Linked DNA regions of Medicago truncatula. The protein of the gene in region 3 interacts with the protein of the main gene of each other region in a pairwise test. Links are inferred from orthologs where the notes say so. Each region holds a gene or a part of one and is shown on either strand. Other genes may lie near its edges.

What was found.
Region 1: the proteins of DNA polymerase epsilon subunit 4 (region 3) and nuclear transcription factor Y subunit B-3 interact in binary tests that used the Arabidopsis thaliana proteins (3 or more experiments, as listed by UniProt). The link is inferred for Medicago truncatula from reciprocal best matches to the Arabidopsis thaliana genes NF-YC10 and NF-YB3.
Region 2: the proteins of DNA polymerase epsilon subunit 4 (region 3) and nuclear transcription factor Y subunit B-3 interact in a two-hybrid assay, tested with the Arabidopsis thaliana proteins (2 studies listed by BioGRID). The link is inferred for Medicago truncatula from reciprocal best matches to the Arabidopsis thaliana genes NF-YC10 and NF-YB7.

Annotation. Positions count from the first base shown.
Region 1 is NC_053043.1:9,773,229-9,779,234, forward strand, and holds nuclear transcription factor Y subunit B-3, read left to right. Parts: upstream 1-4,474; 5' UTR 4,475-4,618; coding exon 4,619-5,119; 3' UTR 5,120-5,411; downstream 5,412-6,006. UniProt on the Arabidopsis thaliana protein: Component of the NF-Y/HAP transcription factor complex. The NF-Y complex stimulates the transcription of various genes by recognizing and binding to a CCAAT motif in promoters.
Region 2 is NC_053049.1:43,430,535-43,436,512, forward strand, and holds nuclear transcription factor Y subunit B-3, read left to right. Parts: upstream 1-4,600; coding exon 4,601-5,245; downstream 5,246-5,978.
Region 3 is NC_053045.1:30,234,303-30,242,108, forward strand, and holds DNA polymerase epsilon subunit 4, read left to right. Parts: upstream 1-4,484; 5' UTR 4,485-4,667; coding exon 4,668-5,006; intron 5,007-5,084; coding exon 5,085-5,169; intron 5,170-6,613; exon of another isoform or gene 6,614-6,688; intron 6,689-7,189; coding exon 7,190-7,231; intron 7,232-7,351; coding exon 7,352-7,425; 3' UTR 7,426-7,686; downstream 7,687-7,806.

The DNA.
Region 1 (6,006 bases), on a different chromosome or scaffold from region 3:
AACTGCTCCAAATAAGAGAATTGTCATAATGTTTTATTTCTGATTTATCACCTTTTCCCATGTCAATTGTTTACTTCCCTGGTTGGTTCATGTATATAAATCTCCATTTGATTTTATTTTTGTTTCTAAATGTAAACACCCTTTCAAATTATTAGATGCATTTATTATTTTTTTCCTAAACATACCCTTAATTAATACTACTAACTTGTCTTGAAATACGATAAGACAAATTTAATACACATACAAACAAAGAATAATTTGGTAATATTAACACACAAAACAGACACATTAATTACACTGACAACATTTCTTAAGAAATGTGAAAAATGCAATGGATGGCTACATTAAGGGACGGAGGGAGTAACTAACAATGATAAACTTTTTCTAATAATTCGAGTGAACTAGAATCAATCATCCAAAAATGAGATAAGGTGTCTATGTGAGCTTAACTCAGTTGATAAGAACAATGCATAATATTTGCAAGTTCCAGAGTTCAAATCCCGGACACCAAAAAAAGAAAATGAGTTAAGGTTAAGATATTCATTTGATAATGCTTAAGTCAGCTAACATTATTTTCCATGGGTTTAGACACTTAATTATTGTCTTAGTGGACAACACTGTAGGATACAAATCTTTAGTCCCATGATGAGAGGTGTCTAGTATGAGTCTTCAGAAGCATATATTGATGACGTGAAAGTGGAACCCTTATACCTTTGCTATCAACATGAAAGCCAACCAATTAGCATCAAACTAATCATAAATTTCAAGTGACATCGTGGAGCAATTGGTGTGATGTTTCATCGGCACTGACCTTTAAAATGAAAACTTGGGCCCCCATAGTTCATGATTAACTGCCAGATGGCCCAAAGTGGTGGATTGATGTTTTATTTAAGAATCAGTCCTCTTTCGAAATACCTTAAAATCCCACGTCGTTTAGAAGTCAATATAAATTGTCCTAATATATATACAACACTTATACTCCTCAACACAATGAAACAATTTTTATAAAGAATAAAACCGTAAAAAATTTACATCTAAAATAAACAATACCTCAAAACACGATATAACATACTTGAGGTCTAAATGAAACAAGTACGTACTATTATTTTTTTTTTTTTATGGTCTTTCATAAATGTTAATTAAATTAGTTGCAATCAAGTGAGGGATGCTGCTGGATTTGTCTTAATGTAGTAGTACACACACAAAGGGAAGAATATAGTAGTATGGCAACGCGACTATACTCCCTCCAGAACGAAATGCAAGTAAAAAAATGTAATTGAAAAGTTGATGTAAGTGAACTAAATTTTTAACTTCATACATCAACTTTTTAAATTTTTTTTTTTTATATTTTATTTCGGAGGAAGTAGTTCATAAAGAGTGTGTGTATAGACAATCTTTTATGCTGATTCTGATTTTCAAATCATTGTTATTCCTAATACCGTTCATTCAAACTCCAATGGCTTTACTATTGTAGGTTTATGCACAAGGATCAAAATAATTTTTTCTTATTTTACCAGGGATCAAATTGAGAAGGTATATTTTGATCTCAATAATAACTTTTTCTTTCAAACAAATCTAAACAAACACCATTATCTTCATTCATTAATATCAACAAATCCAAAAATACATAACATCGCCAAAGGAAATGAAAAAAAGGGGCTCAAAGAGAGAAGGAGGACATTCACAATGTATAGAAATTGTCCCTCACAAATGACTAAATCCACGTCGTATCAAAGGTCATAACGCTAATGCCACATTTTTACATTTGTCTGCAGACTTTTGGTTTATGAATTAACTTATGGGAAATGTTAGGCACGGGTGGTGGTTGTGTAATCAATATATTAAAAGCTTAAAAAGTATATATTTTTTTATTTATAATTTTTTTTTTTTATTTCCTTAACCAGTGTTTCGAAGGCACTGATTAACATGACCTTAACTTATTGTCTCAATTTATTTTTGTGATAGAGTAAAATTGATTTTTATCTTTAAAGATATTAAACTCAATTATATAATTATTGTAAAAGATAAAAATGAGACTTAAACATGAATCATCAAAATCTATCTTCAACGTCAACAATGGATTGGTCTAATTGGTAAGAGACTTGAGTCTCTTAAGCATGCAGTCAGAAATTCGATTTTTGACTCCGGCTTATAATTTTTTTTGATTGGGAGGGTAGAAATATATTCGTGATTCCAAATATGCACTTATGACATATTTGGTATCACGATTGGTTGATTGAAATTATGGTGTCACCGTGATTTTATAGAAGCTTCAAAGTATATCTTTTGTAAATTTACGGTGACTCATCGTCATTTTGTTAAACTCATCCCAAATTCAAACAAGCATTTAATATATTTGGTAGCTAAAATGAAACAAACATCAAGTAAATGTGCTCAGCACACTTCATACTAGAATTATATTCATTATATACGAATTTTTCTATGGCATATATAATTGACAAATAATTGTCTATTTTAGGCATGTGATCATACGTTCAATCTCTTATCGATGCATATGAAATAACACTTGTTCAAAAAGTTAACTTTTAATTGAATCTTCATATTTTGAAAGATTAATCTCAAACTTACGGCTATAGGAGAGACCTAAAACAAAAACAAAAAAATGTGTTTAATGTCACAACATGCACCACCTTTCGTTCAACCAAGCCTACTTTTTACTTTTGAGATAACTTAGAACACCTCCAATTTGATTTTAGTCCACCAACTTGTAGGTTAAGGACACCATTAAAACAAAAAATGAAAGAATTACTTTAAAGTGATAGGGGAGCATGACAATACTATTGTAGTCTTGTTGAGTTGCACCATTAAAGGTGTCCTTACACCATTGTCTCCTTTCAGCAGTGACATGGATGCTTGGATTCTAAGGTCCATGCAGTTCCAAGTCAATGTTAAAATTCAAACACACGTGATATTCCCCTTCTTAGACATGAATGGCCTCAAAATATCCACGTCTCAATACAGTACCACAACAATTATACATTCTTTTCTGTTCATACTAATTATATGATATGATTTTGGAAGAGGTGGTTGGACTTTTTGTTCATACTAATTATATGATTTGGTAAATTTCATCATAAATAACTTATTTTTAAAAGTTAAACACACTAGTTTAATTCACTATAAATTGTAAATTATACCTATTTCATCTTAAATCATTGTTGAAGTTAGTGTTTCTTTTCCACATTATATGAGATGTGCGTCAAATAGTCAGAATTCAAATATTTTTTACCATATGCATCTACATTTATACATCTATCTTCATAAACGTTATGAACTTCTTAAAATAACTTACGTATACTATTACAAAACAAAATTTCAAAGTCAGATTCCACACGCTCCCGCAACTTTTTTAATGAATATTCATCATGACAATTTTGAAAACTGAATTTGCCGGAATCATAAGTGGATTTTCAAAATAAGGGTAAAATTTGATTAATTTTGGAGATAGAGGTATAATTGAGATGATATGAGGTAATTTTTTCTAAATTTAATTCTATAATTCACACACACAGACATCACTCATCAACACCCATACATTCCCCACTTGCCCACTTCCCCCCTCCCCCCATTCCTATGAATTATATAATTCACCCGCCAATTTCCAAACTTTTTCATTAATTAATTTTTCCACATTTTGATACCATACCTACTTTTTTATCTTCACTTTTTATATACTTGTTGGTTGGTTACATTAAAGAAAACTAAAATTCTATGAGTCATGCTACTAAGTGAACTCAAAATGAAAGTTTTGTATTGACAGTAACATTTTTAAATATTTTAAAAGTTGAGTATACAACTTTCAATGTATTGTTATATTTAATTCCTTGACAAAGATTTTCCTAATTTTTTTTGTGTACAAAAAACATTTTCCTAATTTGATTAATAATAAACAACTCTCATATGTTCTATAATTTTATTGAGTGTGTATGTGACAACTAATTATTTTTAAGTGAATTTTAATTTTGTATTAATTCTTCTTTGTAGGCACCACTACCCACATTTTTTTTTATCTAGATGAATCCAAGAAATTTATGGCACTCGTTAACATGACTCTCTTTAATTAATAATAAACGTACTCATATTCTATGATTTTGTTCATTGTATATTCAACCTCTAATTATTTGCAAGTGAATTTTAATTTTGTATTAATTTTTCTTTGTAGGCGCCACCCACCACCCACATTTTTTTTTATCTAGATGAATCCAAGAAACTCAGGACACTTGTTAGCATGACTCTCTTTAATTAATAGTAAACGCTCTCATATTCTATAATTTTGTTCATGTTATATTCAACCTCTAATTATTTGTAAGTGAATTTAAATTTTGAATTAATTATTCTTTGTAGGTACCACCCCACCCACATTTTTTTATGAGCACAAAAATTCTTTATAATTATATCTAGATGAATCCAAGGAATCCCACAATCTAATCCAAATCATTATATATAGTTTACACTATGGTTTTTTTTTTTCTTCCTCACTTCACACCAGTGACAACAATATTTTATTATGTTAGCATATGAATGAATATATAAATGCATACACACATATAATAAGACCATATATGGTTGGTAGCATTTCAAAGATAGGTTTGCAACTATGGCTGAATCAGACAATGAGTCAGGAGGTGGTCAAACAGGTTGCAGAGAGCAAGATAGGTTTCTTCCAATAGCAAACGTGAGTAGGATCATGAAAAAGGCTTTACCAGCAAACGCAAAGATCTCAAAAGAAGCAAAAGAAACAGTACAAGAGTGTGTATCAGAGTTTATCAGTTTCATAACTGGAGAAGCTTCTGATAAGTGTCAGAAAGAGAAGAGGAAAACAATCAACGGTGATGATCTTCTTTGGGCTATGACAACTCTTGGATTTGAAGATTATGTTGAGCCACTCAAGATTTATTTGAGTAAGTATAGGGAGATGGAAGGAGAGAAGAGTGCTATGATTGGTAGGAGTGATCAGAGAGATGGGAATGTTGGTGAGGGTAGTGGTGGAGTTTATGGTCATGGAGTTGGAGTTCCATCTTCTATGATGATGATGATGGGACATAATATGTATGGATCTGGGAGTGGATCGCCATCTTCTGGAAGGAGTACTCGATAGCAGAGACTAATCTCTCGAGTCAGATAAGATCATAATGAGCAGAAAACTTCTGTCTTAAGAATACGAACTCAAAATCTATAATTAAACCGAAAGAAATCGGAGTCATCTCATCTAAATACTCTTGGCTAGACAACAGGTTTATGTATGCATATGTTTGATATAAATTCATCTATTTTTTTTTTTAATTTAGAGTACCCTAGATATATTGTTGCAATTTAATTTGTTGTTGAGGGTACAGTGAAACATTATGGATGGTGGTTTGGAATTAATGCAAAAAGTATTTTTCTTTTTATTTTTTGTGGGAGGTGATAAATGATGCATGTATAGTTTGGAGCAATGCTATATATTAAGAAAGATTTTATTAAGAAAGATTTAAGAATGACATGACAGAATAATCACCCTTAAATTTTATCAAGAAATTGTCCCGAAATTAATGTTAGCTAATAAAATCTCAGCCTCACCGGAAATCATGGGGTGGTGGGTGTTATGTATTTTTTTTTTTATGAAAAGTGAATAAATAAGACTGAAATCTAAAGGTGATTATTCTGTCATGTCATTCTTAAATATTTCTTGATCAAATCATTCTTGATATCTAACATTTTCCATATAGTTTGTTGTGTTGTGTACTATTTCTGTTATATACACCTACTTCTTTGTTACATTGATCATATACGTCCTTTAATTAGAAACTAGACTATGAATTTATTGAAGAACCCATTGATGTTAGAATTGAGTAGCTAATTGATGTTATTAATTGGTATGTTTTGATCACACAATAGGTTGGTCTTATAAGTTTATTATCAACATGTTTCGAAAATCGAAGACGTTAAATATAGCGAGAATATTATCACGAAGCCATCATAACTAAGTGTGATTAGTTATTTCGC
Region 2 (5,978 bases), on a different chromosome or scaffold from region 3:
CAAACTAAAGACTAAAGTGTAGTTAAGGCTTTATAAAAACTAAAGTTTTCTTTTGGAGTCATAATAAAATTAAAGTCATTGATGGTATAAATATGTCAATACTTTTTTCTCAATCTATGTGTTATAAATTTATTCAAATTATTCAATATTTCATTGATACATTTATGCGTGAAGAAAGGTCAAACTGATCGACATGAGCCTAAGCTTGAACCTATTTTATTGAGTTTTTTTTTTTTTTTTAATTAACATTTGTCAGTAAAAAAAATTATACACATGCTCGGTAAATGCTAGTATGCTGATTGCTAGCACATAAGCAAAAACGGTTGGAAACTTTTACGGTACACTCACAAAATGAGGTGTACCGGTACTCTTGCTTCATAATTTTATAAATTAATGATCATTTTTTGTGAAATAAATAACTATTTATCAACATTTATATTTTAAAGAATATCATTTCATAAGAAAAAACATCATTTCATTGTTTATAAGAATTTTAGTAATATTTTTACATATTATCGTAAAAAAATAATCAATGTTCTCAATTTATGGGTGATAAAAATTCAAAAAATATTAATTTTAATTCGTTGACACTTTTGATGAATAAGATTTAGTTATTATAATTATAAATGATAATTTTTTTTTTTTTTTTTTATCAAAAAACAACTCATTTAACTATTAATTTAAAGAGTGGATGTAGCAGTACATTCAAATATATTGGGTGTACCATAGAATTTGCCTACGAACTATTTCTCTCACTCTAATTCCATTCTATTTCTGTGTTCATTTTGCAGAAAAATGGAAGCTACTAACAATACCACCACCATTGATCACGGTGGAGCATTTCTTTCTTCAACATGCCAATATATTATTTTATACTTGAAATATTTGTTATTCTCTATAGTATTGGTGTTTCATTTTAATTGTACTTGCCACCACAATATAGAGCTCCCACCAAGAGATTGCATTGTCACCCATTCATAAACATTGTTGAGTTCATCTCTTATTTAATGTGAGAAACAATCTGTTAGGTCTAAATTGTCTTGAATATATATTTGCTATTACTTTTGATTCAGCTTTTTTGTTGTTGTTGTTGTTGTTTGTTTTGTATATATTTTAGGCATCTTTCTTATATTTGCTCCCTCCATCTCTAAATAATAGTAGTCGTTTAAGATTTGTGTACGATTATTAAAGAAATGATTAATTATGTTGATTTCGATGGTAAAATTAATATCATTTACTAAAAAACCCTAATTAATTGTACCCTTATTAATTGTAGTTAGTGAAGTAGTTCAGTTGAATGAAATTCAATAAATAAAAGTATAATAATGGAAAATAATAATAAACGATTCATTGATATTCTAAAATGACAATTATTTTGAGAGAAAAAAAAGATGATAAAAAGACAATTATTATGAGGCGGAGGGAGTAACAATTATCGTGACACGAATTTTCATACAGTCATTCATTTAGCTTGTTAACCCAAATTCATTCTAAAAATAGATTTCATTTCCACGTTTTAATTCCGTGTTCAACTTTGTAGAACACTTTTAAATAGTTCTATGAAATTATAAATATGTTTAAAAGGTCTCTGATTTTGTCAAATATACCCCTATTAACCCTTTGATAGTAGTGTTAGAGACTAAATTGATAGCAAGTGGTTAAATATTGTGACAAACTTTATACGGTAGTAAGTACCTAATATAAACAACCTAATTGATAATAAGTGATTAAATATAGGGATTAACATGATAGTTTAATAGAGTTAATGAACTTTTTAAAATATTCACAATTTCATTGGACATATTTGAAAGCATCTTACAAAGTAATGACTAATTGTTTTTTTTTTCTTTTGGTTTAAATGCGCTTTTGTTCTTCTATTAAAAAAAAAAGTAAAGTGGTTTTGGTCCCCTTATTCTAAAATTAAGTTTTTTGTCCTTGTATTTAATTTTTTTATTTTTTGGATTTTTGGCCTCTCATCTTATTTAAACATTTCTTGATGATATGACCTAGTCATTTATAACATGACAATATTTACTAGACATGATTTTGTTTACATGAATGTTTGTTGTGGCCTATTAAGCGTTGTTACGTCATAAATCAATAGGCCACATTATAAAAAAAAGGGTTAATGGTGCTTTATCCCCTGTAATATAGGTTATTTTTTTGTTTTCCCTCCTGTAAAATATTTTTTTTGATTTACCCCCTGTAAAATATATATTTTTTGGAATACCCCCCTAATAGGTCATAAAAAAACGAAAAATTCTGTAAAAAAAAAAAATAATAAAGTCGTTTTTTTATGACCTATTAGGGGGTATTCCAAAAAATATATATTTTACAGGGGTAAATCAAAAAAATATTTTACTGAAGAAAATAAAAAATGACCTATATTACAGGGGTAAAACACCATTAACCCTTAAAAAAAAAACCAAAAAATAAGATGAAGGACAAAATTCAGAAACTACATAAATAGAGGGACAACGGTTGTTCTTGGATGTTTTTTATTTATTTAGTGGGATAATATATATAAGTTGTTATCAATCTGATTTCTTCGTGCAATCGCCAATAAGGACTAATAATACTAATACTATCAATCTGATTAGCAATCATCTCAACCTACGACAACTTTCAAATCACATTCCATAAGGACCTTGCGAAAGCGACATTTTTGAGGTACCCAAAATACAAACAAAACAAGTTCACCAACGTCTGATTCTATTCCAAAATACGAACAAAACAAGTACATGCCGCTCTATGGTTATTCAAGACATACGTACCCATTTATATTTGTACAATATCTAATCTAATGGAAGGACCTTCCAACAAAATTGGATATGTTGAAAAACAGAACCATGATTCAGCTCAATAATTCTATCTGAATTCAAGCACCAACCTTAGCCTCCTTCCCATATGCATAAGAATAACCTTACGCACAAGTCAAACGTATCATGCCGGAAAACCACTTGATTTCTTGAAAACCAAATCAAGTGGAGATAATTAGAAAAATTAAGCCAAACCACTTTGGCCTTCACACAATATCTAAGGATATGAGAGTTAGTTTCCTCATAAGCGTTACACACGTGACCGGACACAACGCCACGTCGCCACCACCCCGCCATTTTTTTAAGAATCTTCTACATGAGTACTCTTACTCTAGGGTGTTTCTTTCAAAACCAGAGCTCCCTTCAAATAGGGTCAAATGCACGATTTTCACCGTGTCCTTCAACCAATCCATAAGAGTATCTACGATCAAGATACCAATTTTTTAGTATTTAAATGAGTTCAACATGTAAACATTGATTAATTCCTTTTTTAGCTTTTAACTTGTGCCCTTAGCACGTCCCCATAGTTAATGGAGGTAATAATCACTTTGATCCAGAATGTGTAATGAGTAGCGCAATAGTCGAAATTCTAAAATGTAGTAGTCATTAATTTTTTACTCCCTTAGTCAAAATAGTTTTTTATGATAAAATTGTTCCTCAATATTTACAATAACTATTTTCTTATAAGGACTAATATGATAATAAGTAAATACTAATAAAGATTAATATTGTCAAGAAGTCCTAGCTCAACTGGCAAATGCCGAAATTGCAAGGCCGGACGTCATGACATGGGTTTGAACCCGAGACCTCACAGTTGTGTGTGAGTTTTAATTTCAGTGGATTACCACTTCATCTAAGACAAAAAAAATAAAATAAAGTTAATATGACACTGAGTAAGCACATTGAGGGACTAATATAATACTACCTCCGTTCCTTTTTAATTTGTCACATTTTGACATTTTACACAAATCAAGACAATCAACAATTGATACTACTTTTGATGCAATAAGCTATACTTTTACTATAATGACCTTATTCATTTAATATCTTATATCATATATTTCTCTCTCCGCAATAAAAAACTAAAGACAATATTGGTAAAACAACATTTAATGTTGCATTGAACTTCGAAAGTGACAGTTAAATAGGAACAAAAAATTTCTCCAAAAATGACACTTAAAAAGGAACGGAGGGAGTAGGTATTCATGTACATCGCTACTCATTTTTCAGTCAACTTCGTTAAAATATATTTATGAATCATTTAACATTGAAATGGTAGGTCCAAAAATGATTATGAAAACAAACATGATTACTTACCCACATAATTTGGACAAGTATTTCAAGCTTAATTTTATAGATAAGTATTACAAATGAAGTAAAGGATCAATTTTATTTCAAATCAACACTGAACAAAAACATCTATCAATAAATTAAAAAGATTTGTACCAGCAAAAATTGTCCAAAAAAATAAAATAAAAAAAGTTAATTAAGTTTGGTAATTTGTCATCAAAGGGTATTTCTATTTGTATTGACAATAATAGTGTTATCTAAGTTGGAATTGGATCGGGTCGTGGCAGTTACATGAAGTACTCAACATCTAGAACGAGTCCGGGGGACTTGCCTATTTTTCTTTTTTTAACTTTTACTTCTCCTAACTAACCCTTCTTACTTGCCTATTTTTATGCCTCACTTTCAGTTTATCTATCTATACAATAATGTAAATTTTAAATGTAATATTGTAAGGTCACGTAACATCCTATAAGCTCATTAATTTAGTTCCAATGGATGATGAGAGTCATAGTAATTTGCCAAATGGATTCAACACAGAAAACCCTGAAACTCATTGTTTAAAAACAATCAACAACAATAATCATAATCATCATCACAATAGCAATAAAGAACAAGATCGTTTTCTTCCTATAGCAAATGTTGGTAGAATAATGAAAAAAGTTATTCCTGCAAATGGAAAAATCTCAAAGGATGCAAAAGAGACAGTTCAAGAATGTGTGTCGGAGTTCATAAGTTTTGTCACCGGGGAAGCATCGGATAAATGTCAAAGAGAAAAAAGAAAGACAATCAACGGTGATGATATTATTTGGGCTATTACAACGTTAGGCTTTGAAGAATATGTGGAACCATTAAAATGTTACCTTCAAAAATATAGAGATATTGAAGGTGAGAAAGTTAATGTTCCAAAACAACAAAGATCTGAACAAAGGCTACATCAACATCAACATCAACATAACCAAGATGAATTAAATAATCAACATTTCAACAATAGTGTATATACATCTACAAATCTCATGTCTCAAACTCCTTATATGACTACTGATCAACCATTTCCACTTCCTTTCTCTCCAAATTCGATTCAAAAACAATTACGACAGCAAGATCAGATTGATTCCATAGGGCATTGGTATGAATGAGTAAGACCAAGCTAATTTTATGTTTGGTCTTTTTTTTCTTCTTCTTTTCTTTTTGATATAACAATATAATGTAATCTTAGATATAGAATTATATTTATGCGTATAAGAGTATATATACACATACAATTAATGTAATGTTTTTTGCCACTTTTCAAAATAAAATGATCTTGAAGCTTTTGTTTGTCATTGATTGTCGTGTAATATTGACAAGGAAAATGATAAATTGCACAAAAGTTGCACTAATTAGTGAATATGCACAACAAGTCTAAATTCAATCATATGCCAATATTCAAACAGAATCACTCAACGTACTTATGATGGCCAATGACTCATGAGAGGATTCTGGTTTGTTAATTAAGTTACACCTTTTAAAGAGGCAAAATTGATTTCAGAGGCGCATAATTAATTTTGACGTGCTTAGAGAATGCTTAGATTTTTTTTTGAGAGACAGAGAATGCTTAGATATTCTCTAATAGAATTGATTTAGCCATTTTAACTTCTTTTGTGAGAGAAAAAATAATTCTAACTTGTCCCTCGAGTGAAAAATATGATTTACTCATACAAAATAAATATATTCATGGAGAAATTTAAAAATAAAATATAGTTCATATTGTTTGGGTGCAATTCATTTTATTATGAGCTACACTAAATGTTTGTTCGTAGATATTATTCTACGCAGGTATACATAGAAAATATGGTAACAACAAAGGTAGCAATTATTATATATCTGAAA
Region 3 (7,806 bases):
GTTTGAGTGATATGGAAAGATCGGAACAAACATATTTTCCAAAACGAGGCAACACATTATCTCGTTCTTATGGAGAAAATCAAACGCAACTCTTTTTTGTGGTTGAAAGCAAAGAACATTTTTTTTTTAATTACTGTTATTATGATTGATGGACACATCCGCTCCTTTGTATGGGAGTGCACCAGTAATTTATCTTAACTGTTACTTGAGGGTGCCTTTCATTTTCTGGCATATGGTTGTCTGTAAATATTTTGCGGTGTCTCGCTTTTTGCAAGTCTTATGTTGGGTGTTTCATCTGCATTATTAATATATTTCATTTTAACTTGTGCAAAAAAAAAAAGAAGTTTAAATGGCATTAGTGTGAAGGGACAATAATTAATAGGCCAAATACCACTTTTGGTCCTTTTAGTTTGACAGAATTCCCAAGTTACGAAAGTTTCAATTAGGTCATTTTAGTTTGACAGAATTCTTAAGTTAGTCCGTTAAGATTAAAAAGTTTCAAATAGGTTCTTTTAGTTGATAAACTATTTCACCGTAACCGTTTCAAAAGTTTCAAATAGCTCCTTTTAGTTTGAAACTGTTGAAACTTAAAAGGACTAGCTGACTTGAGAATTCTGTCAAACTAAAATTACCTATTTGAAACCTTTGAACTTAAAGGACTAACTTGGGAATTCTGTCAAACTAAAAGAACCTAATTGAAACTTTCGAAACTTCAAGGACTAACTTGATAATTATGTCAAACTAAAATGACTAAAAGTTGTATTTGGCCTAATTAATACTATAAAAACATGAAAGGAAATTAAACCTATTTGAAGATTAATTTTTGTATTATTTTGTATTTCTTAAAAATGTAGTTTTAACCAAAATACAAAATAATATAAAAATTAATGATATAAAATAATAAGTTTAATGTTTGTATTTTTTTATCAATGATTTCAATGCTTGAGATTTTTTCTTTCTGGAGGTTGGGTTCTATGGTTGATGCACGTTAAGTTTTAACTCATTCTTTGCATGCATGTCATGTTTACTTCAATGCAAGTTTTCTATATTTGCCACCATCTATAAGAAATTTGGGACAATGCATCATATACTATTTCTCAATTCATTATCTTAAACCAAACAATCAGCCAATTGACTATATTTCTCACTTATTTTTCTTTTCTCGCAATCTCTCTTCTTTATATGACATCACAATGAAACACACCATAAATAATAATCATGGAGTGAATAAAAGACTAATTTTATTCTAGAAAAGGCACGTGAATCAAAATACGGATAACTTGTTTGATTTTATAAATATTTATAAAATCAAACAATTGAAATGAACCAAAATTATCCTATAAATTTCTTAAAAAAAAATTTATCTTATAAATTGTTTGCTATTAATTACTTTTGAAATATCTAAAATACAACATATATAAGGGACAAATTTCGAGTATGCTTGTAATAATTAATAGTAATTAATTAAATACGTCGTGTTTGTTGTGGTGAGCATCAATGTGATCATGAGTGAATCTGAGACTCGAGAAGTGAGGACGGTGTTCGATTTACATACATGTACTTGTGAGAGGGAATGATGATTCCTTTCAGACTTATGTGAAAACTTGTACTAGTTAGTTGTCTATATGGTCTTTTTGTTTGAGGATGTTTCTTTCTATGGGAGCAGAAAACAAACACAATGAGATGTACTATGTTGAGTTACGTAATGTTGTGTCTGTTTGTAATTGTGTGTTCATCTATTCATACATACTTACTTATTGTGTACTTGATTTATGATTTACTCATCCTATCTATGCATGTCTATGTTTCAAATTGTGTGTTACTTGTGTGTGTGAACGAGGACTCTCTCAGCAAGATGCCAATGAGTGTAATTTGTACCTAGCTTTGGGATAACTAAGTTCAAGATTATACGCCTTATCTATAATATTCCTTTATGCTAGCTAGATTTAGGCTTTTGTATTTATTTTTATGAGGGATGTTTCGAGACGGGATAAGTTTCAAGTTTTGGTAAAAAAAAAAAAAAGAGTTCAAGATGCGAAATCTTACGACAATGGTAAATTGTAGAATCTTCATGAATGAATGTGGAGGTCAAAATCCGAGGTGGATATACTGACGATGGAAAACACTCTAACGTTTAAGTTGAAGTAGATGTTAGGGTTAGAACTAATGACACGTACATTTTAAGTCTTGTGCTCATATAGGTCGACAAACGTGGTATTGAGAACAATAAATGTTAGAGATATCATCAAAAGAAACCTATTAGACCAGGTCAAGCCCAATATCACGTCAAACAAGGTTAAAAAATCGCAAACAACACATATGTTAACCTCATATCATGTTTGATTAAATCGAACATGCATGCCAATTCAAATTCGAAAGCTTGCAAATATGACAAACTAAAACCGACACATCCCACTTAGGGGTTTTGATTCTCTCCATTGAAAATTCGTTCAGTTTTTCTCCATTTTCATTCTCCAGTTTTAAAACACACAACTACTTTTCTTTATAATTTAACTTTTATTTTCTCTCTGTCATGTTTGATGGTTGTGATTCAACTTGAAAAAAATTGAGAAATTTTTTAGTGGAGAGGATCTACACCCCCACTAAGATACGTTGTCAGTAACCTTGTCTATTACGATTTTGGAGTCATTTTCTACATGAGTTGTGTTTTTAAACAACTATTTTATTGACAACTTATGTGAAAACTATAAATTTATAAAGAAAAAGTATATATCGACATGAAAATCAAGACAATAAAGAGATAAAATAAAACATAATATGAGTATGAGAGAGAAAATTGTCACAAAAAATATCACAAAATAATTGTACAAGTATCGTTTCTCTTTTTACATAGATGAAATATACTCTCCCATTAAGCTAATAGCAAGGTACATTTCTCATATATATTTGGAGGACAACCTCAACACGTTTAAAGACTTAAATAAATTTTCATAGTGATGCCTTTTAAATTAAAGATATAGAAACCGAGTTTCGTAGAGTCTTAAATTTGAACTTAGGTTAGGCATATATGAAGCTCTCATTTTCACTAATTTAACTTGGATAACATCTACTTGTTGGGTCATAGGGGAGCCTGAGGGACCATCCACATCGAGGCTAAAACAACATATTTAAAGACTTAAATAAATTTCCATAGTGATGCCTTTTAAATTAAAGATATAGAATCCGAGTTAGTCTTAAATTTGAACCTAGGTTAGGCATATATGAAGCTTTCATTTTCACTAATTTAACTTGGCGAACATCTACCTGTTGGGTCATGAGGGGAGCCTGAGGGACTGTCCACATCGAGACTAAAACAACCACATAAGCGAGAGAGACACCACATTCTTACCCAAAACCTTAAGGCAATATGTTTATGGGTCCTCTTACTTATAAGGTGTTCAACCTTTCGTATTTTATCCGATGTGGGACATATAAGTCACACTTGCACACAACAACACCCCTCCTTAAGTGTGAGTCCATATTTTCATCATGGTGTGAGTCCATCTTTTCATCGTGCTCCCCCTTCAAGCGAAAGCTCTTACTTGCTTGAATCGTCGTTGCTGGTTTCTCCGCAAACGGACCGACACTACTTGTACCGTCGTTGTTGCTTTATGCACAAACGGACTGACTGTCTCGGTCATACCCTTCGTCGAACGGGGCTCCGATACCACTGTTGGGTCAGTGAGGGGAGCTTTGGGGGACCGTCCACATTGAGGCTAGAACAACCTCACAAGCAAGAGAGACACCACACTCTTACCCAAAACATTAAGACAATGAGTTTATGGGTCCTCTTACTAATAAGGTGTTCAACCTTTATTTTTTTTTATCCGATGTAGGACATATAAGTAACACTTGCACACAACAACACTACCATTAGTTAGTCATATTATATATTTTTTAGAAAATTAATTTTTTTAGAAAATTTTTTGAGCAAAAACTTTGAAGCCTAAAATCATAACTTCGACTGATACTATATTTTCGCATGTTCAAAATTTATATTTATTTAAAGACTTTTAGTGTATTGTACATAAAAAGACTTTTATATATAAGTTTTATTGTGCTAATATTAACCAAACAAAAAGTTGTTCAAAACTAAAAAAAATTACTCCATGAGAATCAAATTAGGACAATCCATTTTTCTTTTTCCAGTTATCATGATATTGATATGAAGTTTTCACCGACGCTTAAGGCACGATTAATCTTCGTTAGAAAACATGCGGAGCACACACAAGGTGTATTCCCCCCTACAACAAGATTTTTTCATACACAGGATGCATCGATCGAACTCCTAACCATTTAGTTATAAAGTTTAGATCTGTTATCACTTGAACCAATTCATTGTATCAAAACATATTATGAGGTGAAAGGTGTCTCCTTTGTTGCATGTAGATATGCCCAATATTTTTTCTTTTTTTATAAGTGTATAAGATTTGGGTGCTAAACTGCTAATAGCATTCCCAATACATTAGGCCGAATAGCATTAACAGATTTTTCGGGTCGAACTGGGCCATATTATTTCAAACCGAATTACCCGTACGTTTCATCTTCAAAACCCGGTTCGTACAGAAAGTAAACCCTTGTGTCAGAAACACCGTGAAAGTGAACTCAGTGTAAGCTGAAAGGAAAAGTGCTTGTACTGAATAATCACTTATCAAAGTAAAATCACAATGGCTTCTTCCAACAATTCAGTAGCAGAAAACAACAAGAAGAAAACCAAAAAACCACAAACCTCAACTCCTACAAGCAAAATCAAGAAAGACAACAAAAACATTGAAAAATCCAAAGAAAACAACAACAAGAATAAGAAGAAGCTCAATTTCACAAATGGAAATTCCAAAGAACAGGAAGAAAGTGGAAGAAAAAAGAAACATGCAAAGGATGATGACGAAGAAGAAGATGCGAAAACGCATGTGTTTCCTATGAATCGAATTAGGACGATGTTAAAGGGTGAAATTAGCGATTTGCGTGTTTCTCAGGAAGCTATATTGGCTATTAACAATGCTGCGGTAATTTTATGAATTTTTATGTTGATGTTTGTATTGGTTATTGTTATGTGTTTTTGATTCGGTTTTTGTGTTTTATAGGAGAAGTTTCTTGAACAATTAGCGGAAGATGCTTATGGTTGTTGTGCTCAGGATCGGAAGAAATCTTTGAGCTACAATCATCTATGTAATGTCCCTGTTGCTCTCTACTTTTTTCTATAAGCTGTTATATTTGTACTTGCTACTTGTGTTTGGTGTTTGGTATGTGTCAGTGTCCAACACCGACAAATGTGGTTGCGTTTAAATTATTTTCGGTGTCTATGTGTTATGTTAATGTCAAGTGCTTATGTCTGGGATTCATGGCATATCAGCGCACTAGCAATAGCCCAAATCTAGTAGCTTATGGGTGTCTATGTGTTAATGTCAGTGTTTGGGCTAATTTGGATAAACAACTTATTTGCAGCTTATCATGATAAGCGCTTATGTATAAGCTCACATAAGCTATTTCTATAGAAAGGATAAAATAAAGTTATATTATTTTTGTATATGCTATAAGTTGTTCTTACAAGTTAAATTAGAGAACTTATGAAAATAACCTGAGAAAAGCTTTTGAAAATTGTCATAAGCTGTTTTCATAAGTTCTCCCAAATAGGCTCACAAAACTTATGCTAATAGACAAGCTCAAATAAGTCAATACAAATTAGCGTCTATATTCTTGGAACTTAAGGGATGCTTTTCTTTGTTGGAAAATATTGGCTTGGACATTTAGGTTTTGTAATCTATTAGGCTATGATTATTATTATAATATAAGTGCTTTTGAGTGAGAAATATGCATTCTGCTCAAACAGTTACAAATTAATATGTGAGAGTGGATTGTCAATTTTGTACGTCTCTAAGTACTGTTATCCGTCCGTTTATTGTTTTTGACCATTTGTTACCTTGTGATTGGTCATTTACTAGTTTTGTTGTGTTTTCATGCAAAAATATTTGTCATCAATAACAATGTAATTTTTTTTTGAGTAAATAACAATGTGATCATAACTTAGCAAGTTAGCAGTGATCTTTTGTACTTTAAAAATGAACTGCTTGAGTAGAATTCTTAGGCATTTGTGGTTACTTTTCTGAGGAGAATAACGGATAGGTAAGTTGAGTTTTGAAAGAGCTTTTGCCCTTAAGGTAGGGAATATCAAACTGGTTTTATTTTTTTGGTACATTGAGGCTTACAATCTAGCAGCTGTCCCAAATGAAATCTAGTTAATAGTAAATATTGAATGAATTCAGTATGAAGTTTTTTCCCCGCATAAAAATGTTACAAAATCTATTCAACCAATCATATTAAGCCTATCAGTTCATGGGGACTTAGAAGGCATGGATGATAAGACACATGGATGAAAACATGTTGTGCGATACTAGTAACGATTCAGTTCATATACGATTTTGCATATTGATTGATTATCTCTCCATGTGATGTGAAGTGTGATGAATTTTCAGTTATTATTTCTCTTGAACCTTTTCCTCTATTCACTTCTGAATGGTTTTCAACCCATTCACTTATAAATATCACCACTACTTTGTTCTAGAAACCTATATTCTGATTCACATGAACTAAAATTAACCTATTATTAAGTTAGGGTCAAATGGTTCAGAGATATGGTAAAATCATTAAACTTCTTCAGTGCTGTAAACTAGAAAAGGGAATGGTGGAGGTATTTTTTTAATATTTTCTTTTACTCTTTTGTATAATTGCTGTCATTGCAAGCCATTTCAAACATTGCTTTCTTTTTCCCTGTGCAATATTGAAGGAAATCTCTATCATTATCATGAATAAAAATCTGGTAGTTGTCAAGAGAAAAATCATTAATCTAACCCATTAATTAGGCACTGGGAGTTATCATTCACCGTAAGTCTTTTGTTCTGTTAGTTTTTTTTACTTTGATCTCTATCAATAAGAGCAAAAGCGAGGAGGGTGTGTTCAACAAAATTTCGTAAAACCTTGTTTGTTTTGTTTTTGGTCTGCACTTAGCAGTGTTAAATTGAAAATATGAACCAACATAAGGCTTAATATTTGACCTATGCCATAAGTAGGTTGTAAAAATGCTACTTTGTATGTCCATTGGAATTGATCCTTGTGCATGTTTATTTATGTGCTGTTTGTTCATTGAGACCTTTTTTCCAATTACTGATAAGACAACTGCTTTGTGTTTCAGCACGTGTTGTTAGTAAGCAAAAAAGATATGACTTTCTGTCCGGTAATTTCTTATCCCTGTTGAAATTTAATCTGGTGACCATTGAAATATTTGAAGTTCACCTTTCCATGTATTTATTTACCACTAATTAAAAGGGTTTCTGCATTGTTTTTGCTTGTTCAGACTTTGTTCCTGAGAAAGTGAAAGCTGAGGATGCATTAAGAGAGACAAACTCAAGAGGGAATAAAGGAGGTTAGGAAATGTAAAACACAGAAAGTGGTGAACCTAAGTCAATTCTTTTGTTAAACACATTCTGAAATGGAAACATGTATGATGGTTAGTACTTAGTAATGCACTGTTTTACATCTCCATAGTGTATTTACCGTTGCACTCTTCTTTAAAGCTTCCATCTCATATGGCTAGATTTTTCTTTTCTTGCTGTGGCTATGCGAACTTGATGCTTGACATTTGTAACGGTTATTTTCGTTTTTATTTTTATGCTGAAAATCCCATGGGAAGATAGAAAACATATAGAGTTACTAAATACTAACGACAGGGTGGAAACAATGCTTAAGCTACGTTTGTATGCTTTTAGGTGGAGGGTAATAGAGGGAAAAGAAAGAGAAAGCTAATAATGG